Linked DNA regions of Mus musculus. The protein of the gene in region 1 purifies or fractionates together with the protein of each later gene. This does not show direct contact. Links are inferred from orthologs where the notes say so. Each region holds a gene or a part of one and is shown on either strand. Other genes may lie near its edges.

The links. The genes of interacting proteins can lie anywhere in the genome.
Region 2: the proteins of Mki67 (region 1) and Ifi204 purify together in Homo sapiens (affinity purification with mass spectrometry; 3 studies listed by BioGRID and IntAct, with this or other methods). This does not show direct contact. The link is inferred for Mus musculus from reciprocal best matches to the Homo sapiens genes MKI67 and IFI16.

Annotation. Positions count from the first base shown.
Region 1 is NC_000073.6:135,699,374-135,702,895, forward strand, and holds part of Mki67 (proliferation marker protein Ki-67), read right to left. Parts: intron 2,685-3,522; coding exon 2,529-2,684; intron 1,695-2,528; coding exon 1-1,694. UniProt on the Homo sapiens protein: Protein that associates with the surface of mitotic chromosomes and acts both as a chromosome repellent during early mitosis and chromosome attractant during late mitosis.
Region 2 is NC_000067.6:173,746,779-173,749,927, forward strand, and holds the end of Ifi204 (interferon-activable protein 204), read right to left. Parts: intron 2,606-3,149; coding exon 2,417-2,605; intron 843-2,416; coding exon 822-842; 3' UTR 515-821; downstream 1-514.

The sequences.
Region 1 (3,522 bases):
CTTATGTCCTGTTGAATTTCCTGTGAAATCCAGTTTCTGCTTTGGAGTTTCCATAATGGCTGTGGTGCCATTTCCTTCCTGCATTGGTGCTGGTGTGCCTGCGTCTCTGCCTCGTGACTGTGTTTGTTTCTCAAGTATGGAAAGTTCTTTCATATCCACTTTCATGAGACTCATCTTAGACCGTCTCTTTGTGCTTGCCGGGGTTTTGACTGGTTCTGCTTGTGAAGATTCCAAAGATATCTTTGCACTTTCCTCAACAGTCACTGAGTCACTGGCACCAGCTGGTGTTTGGAAGAGTTCTTGGAAGCCATCCAGGTCTTCTAGGGGCTGAGACCTGTTCTTAGATGTTCGTGACCTTCTCTTACTCCCTGATGAATTCCCTGCAAAATCCAGTTTCTGCTTTGGAGTTTCCATGAAGGCTGTGCTGTCATTTTCTTCCTGCACTGGTGCTGGTGTGCCTGGGGCTCTGCCTGGTGACTTCGTTCTTTTCCCAAGTGTTGAAGGTTCTTGTCTCACATCCACTTTACTGAGACCTGTCTTGGAGAGTCTCTTTGTGCTCGCTGGGGTTCTGACTGGTTGTGTGTGTGGAGATTTGCTGGGAATTTTTTTGATTATGTTAGTAGGAACTGGTGATATAAAGAGTTCCTGGAAACAAGTCAGGTCTTCCAGGGGCTGAGCCTTTTTTTTAGATTTTTCTAAAGTCCTCTTGCTTCCATTTACTGTTGAGGTCAGCATTTCATTTTCAGATTGCTTCAAAGCTTTGATATCCTCACACTCAAGTTTTAAAATTTTGGGATTATGCCTGGATTCCCCTGGCATATGTATACGTTTTGTCAAGGCAGAGCTTTCTTCCTTCATGTCTACTTTCTTCCCAGATGTGCTAGTCTGTGGCTTTGTGTTTGTTGTGATATTCTCTGTTGTGACTTGTGGTGATTTGCAAAGGACTCTAGTTCTGTCTTCCGTTATAGGTTTATCTTTGGGGTTTGGTGTTTCAAAGTGTTCCTTGAGACCAGCTGGCCCTTCTAGAGGTTGTGCCTTTTTGCCAGGGGTCTTTGGCGAGTGCTTCTCTTTGGTTGCATATACTATTATGTTCACTTTCTTTTCTGTAATTCCTTGATCCTCACTTATTGATGTGTTTTGCATGTGCATGGATTCCTCTAGGTTTTGTATGGTTCCTTGTCCTTGACTAAGTAGTTCCTCAGCATAGTCTGCTGTTTGGGTGACCATCTGACTTCCTAGTAAGTCTTTTGTCGGCTTCTGCTTCCTGGCACTTGATCTCCTAGCTGATGTCTTTTCTGAACCTTCACTTAATTCACCACTTTCCTTGCATCTTTGAGGAGCGTTTTCATTGTCCTGCACCTGTTGATCTACTTTTTGTTCTCGAAATGTCCCCCTTAAATGTCTTGCTGTGGTGTTCTCAGCAAGGACTGCTTCTGTTTTTTCATTCATAGTTTCCACAAGGGTATGTCTGAGCTCTCTAGATCTTCTTAACTTGCTCACACTCGATGCAGTCTTCAGGGGCTCTGTCTCAGAGACCGGAGTCTTCTTCTCAAGGTCAGTAATGTTATGGACATTCTTAGGAGTTTGCACTGTGTTTTCATGTTTGATGCTCCGCCGTCTTAAGGTAGGACTTGCAGAATATCTATCAGACTGCTGCTTTGCTGCATTCCGAGTACTGGATAGCACTTTTTCTCCTATAAGAAAGAAAAATATATACATAAAAAAATGTATCATTTTTCACCACCTAGTATCAGCTTATTATTTTATCTTTAGGAAGTATATAAGAACCAATAATTTAGCTTCTTTTCTACCAAGCAGTTCCTAGATGATCTCGACCCTGTTCTATTTATGATCTATTAAATATTATTTGGTAACAGAGAAGAGCCATTGTGAAGTATCCTTAAGAAGGGTCCTCTAAAGCCTGCCAACATGTGTGACATGGACCTGAATACAGGCAATATTTTTTCTGAAACAGTCACTTATTATCTTGATTCACTAATGAAGTAATAGATTCTACTGTACTTGTTTAATATCCAAATCCAATTCTGCATGGAAGCAGTTGTGACCCTCCTACCTCCTTCCAAGTCCTTGAATTAAAGCCATATACTACAAAGTCTCTGCAATGCTATAGACGTAGCCCAGAGTTTCCCAAATGCCAGGCAAGCACTCTACCAATCGAGTTACATCTCTATCCTTGCAATAATTTTTATTTTGTGTAATTTATATATAAACATAGCAGGACAAGTGTACTGTTTGTATCTCTTTCCTCCTATAACGAAGAAGTTGAAAGCAATACAGACACCATTTAGACTTACTAACTGAGTGAATAATACTTCCTATCAAGCTAGGTCAATGATTAAGGCTTAGAAAATTGCAAAGTCTGCTTGAAAACAGAACAGAGAAAGTGGAAACGGCATTTCACCAGGAAAAGCTATTGTAGAGAAGGAACCCAGTATTGTCTATAAAGAAAAGGCAGTCTTCAAGTCTCCATTCCAAAGTTTAACATTGGAAAAGACAAATAAACCAACCCAAAATCTCTGTGGTGATGGGCTCAGGTATGTCTCCTGAATTAGTTACTTGCAATTGTCTTTCAGACAAATTCGCTGAATTGGAAAGTACGGAGCCTGTATCACTCATCTGCTGCTGCTTCTCCTTCACTGGAGTCTTGAACATTTCAGTTAGTCCTGATAAAGGAAAACATTGGAAACATGGCTTACATTATCTCATTCCCCATGCAAAACAATGTAGATGACAAAAACAAGTTTTCAGATTCCAGGTATGCATCATCTCATTAAAATGTTGATTTTTGTTAATATGCTCGTAAAAATTAAAGAAAACAAACAAACAAACAGACAAACCCAACAACACATAGAGCCAACTTCTCTAACCCTCTCCTATGGAAAAGGAAATCCAGTGATTTAGTTGACCTCTGTCATTTTCTAAACTAGTTCCCCAAAACAAGCCCCAGCAAAGGGACAAAATTTAGGTATGGGTACCTCTCCTCGGAGTACTGATATCTGGAAATCCATGACCCAGGGGCCTTGTTATACCCTCAAGAAGTTTCTCAGATCTAAATCCTAAGTACAAATAATACATTTCTACAGTTTAGAATACTGACACAACACTGACCATTTTCAGGCTCATCAAGAACACACACTCGCGCGCACACACACACTCTAATCGAAGTATCATCCCTCCCTACTCACGTTGACATCAGAAAGGCCGTAGTGACATAATTCCATATGGATGACTGAGCTCCCTGAAAAGCTCAAGTGTCATGCTTCTGTCTGGTTGGCTCCAAAGAATGAGAACTTGAGCTGGCATTCGCCACAGAATGGGTCTGGGAACTGTTGAAGTGTCTATCTGAACTTGCCTGTTCAAAGTCTCCTTTTTCCATAGCCTTCAGGGCCTTACTTGCTTACTTGAAACATCAGGGTTTACCTTCGAATGTTTTAAAATGGAAGCTGCCAGGCCAGGCATGGTAGCCCTAAGAAAGCAGGGGTAGGCAGATCTCTTTATGTT
Region 2 (3,149 bases), on another chromosome or scaffold:
TAAGTCTTCACAGCAGAGAGAAATGTAAGCAATAGTCTAGAAAGACCTCTGGGAGAATATCAATTTCTTAATTCCCTTGATTTCCTTTATCATAATCCTTCTTTATTTGGCTTTAAAGATTTGCAGTTATTTTATTTGACTCTGGAATTGAAGATGGGATTCCTTACTTTTAAAAATACTATGCCCCACCGTAAACACCTCATTCTGGGGATTTTTTTCCAATATCTAAACTCTATAACGCACTCACATTACTCAGCATAGCTGGTGTGAAGACTTGATCCTGTTCTCAGCATATTATTTTTGGAACTATACTCAAGGCTGAGTTCTACCTTCTCCCACATCTTATTAATACCTTGACATTAATGGGCAGAATAGACATCTTTGCTCCTGAACATGCTTTGTCCTTACACATCACATTTGGTGTCTGTATTCTCCAGCTTTACCTGAGGACCACTAACTATTTATTTTTAAGCACATCTCAAATGTTTAAATGATACTCCCAAAGGCACACTGCTTTACAGAAATTGTGTGAATTTATTTTTATAAGTTTTAGGCATAAAAATTGCAAATTGAACAGTTATAGAAGTTATAGAGACAACAAATGAATTTAGATATAGAAAATGTGTAAAGAATATAAGAAAACACCATTTCCTAGAATTAAGAGATGGTCTTTATAGGACTGATATTTCAATAGGCTTATACACATTTATTTTCTGTAATTGAATCTTATCTCCACAAAAAAATATCATTGGCATTCAGGTTTTCAGAAGTATGGTTCCAGAGAGGTTCTCCCGACTGAGTCTGGGTTGAGTGGCTTTCCTTCACTTTCTAGCATTGATGACCTTAAAGAAGAAAACAATGAAGTCAGATCACTTGGAATGCAGTGGGGTCCACACCTTTCTTGCTGACTACTCACCATGAGTGCCATGTGCCCTTTTCTCACTCTGACCTTAAATACATCTCTGTTCTTGGAGTCAGCTTTGTTCTCTTGCTTGGAATTGTAAAATTAGCAAGTTACTCCTACAGCTTGAGCAATGTTCAAAGTGCAGGGTGTGTTACAGAGGTACAGGGAAAAGGAAAGTGTTGCAATTCCTGAGGTAAGGAGGATTGGAGTTTTGGCAAATGGCTGATGGTTTAGAGAACACTGGTAGTTTAAGAGCATTTCTACGTGAAGAAGTTATCACTTATGTTTCTTTTCTTTACATTATAATAGTGATGTGTGTGTGTGTGTGTGTGTGTGTGTGTCTGTGTGTTTAAATAGAAAACCACACAGATGTTTGTAAATATGAAGAGGAGGGTGGATATTCGCACCTTGTTGTTTTGGATTGCCTCGTGCTATTTGTATTTTGATGTTAATCCTGTTTTTTTCAAGAGGAGCTGCCCCAACAAGGAGTAGATTATATACTTAGGTGATTTCATGTGAACCTTCTCCCCATTTTACCATGTCAAATAAAAAGTAGAATCAGTGATTTGGCAGTGGAAGGGAAATTTGAGGCTGGAGGTATTAGAGAGCCTGAAGAGAAGAGAGAGGTAGATGAGCAGGAGGAGACAGAGGAAGGAGGAGGAATAGGAGGTGGAAGAAAGATGGGGCAGAGCCATGTGGCCTGGAGAAGCCACGAATAGCAAGGGATCTCATAGCTGGGTAAAAGAGTTGTTTAGTGGTATATCTGTGTAATCTAGCTGTGCAGCTTATAAGTATTATAACTGAGTGGTGTGGCGTGTTCTTTGAACTAGCTTATTGTGGGTGGACATTTACTGCATCTCCTTGTCATCTCATTTCCTCAAGGCTTCATTGGGGACTTATGATTTTGTCCACAATCCTCTGCAACAGAAAGTATTGGCATCTTATAAATGAATACTCTGAGGTTGTGTTTTAGTATTTGGTCAACTTGAAAAACTAGAGTCAGAATTTGAAACAAACACCTTGATTTTCCTGTCAAATGTACTCTCTGTTTTGAAAAATCTGATAGTTTTCTTTTAAATCAATTAGTTAAACATATAAAAATGTTTGTCTTTCTGCATTTGTTTTCCTTGTTATGTTTAGAAACTCTTATTAAAAGTAATGGAATGAAGCTTATATGTTAAATGAGCAATCCTTAATTTTTCCTCTACCTATTTGATTTTCCATGTATTACCAATACTCATCCTTTACTAGAGTATTAAAAAGCACTGGGCAGTGGTGGTGCATGCCTTTAATCCCAGCACTCCAGGGGCAGAGGCAGGCTCATTTTTGAGTTTCAGTCCAGCCTGGTCTACAGAGTAAGTTCCAGGATAGTAAGGGCTGCACAGCGAAACCCTGTCTCGAAATTAACAAACAAACAAACAAACAACAAACAAAAAACAAGAACAAAAACAAAAACAAGCAAACAAAAAGTATGTGATTCTTAGGAAGACTGGTATTTCCTAGAGCACGTACCTGCATGTAACTGTGCCTTACAGACCTCAGCTGCCACCCATCTTCAGTGGAAGTCAATTCAAAGCAGACAAGTCTTAGTTTACTGCCTGGTTCACACCTGACATTGGTGAGTCTTCCATAAACCACCACTTCCATTTTCCCTGTATCATCTCCAATTCCATAGTAAATGAATTTATTCCTCTCCGTTTTCTGAAAAAGCAAATTAACATTGAATCTTCTAGGAAATATGCCAAAGGTTGTCACATCTATGAGAACTAAAATGTGTCAACATAAACCTGTCTCCCACAAGGCAACTATGGTTCTTAGGTTTAGAATTGGAGGTACAAGTGCCAATGAGATGGCTCAGTGGGCAAGGGTGCTTGTGGTCAAACCTGATGACCTCGGTTGGTTCAATGACCGGGACTCATGGTAGAAGGAGAGAACTCATTTCTGAACCTTGCCTTCCTATTAGTTTCATGACCTTTGTGTTTCTTCTCAGTCCTCATAGACAAAAGAAATACATTCTGAAAAAGTAAAATTACAGGAACTAAATAGTTTAGGCTGTTCCAATGAACACATCTTTTCTTGGAAATCACTCCTGATATTCTATTTGTGAGCCTAGCCTTTAGTTGACTGAACCATCTCTCCAGCCTTGGAAACCCCTCTGAAGCTTTACCTGCATGTGGTCTTTATCTGCTGGGTATCTTTAGAAAAAATCAGTATCTTTCTAAGCACTTGTGGTAACATATCAGAA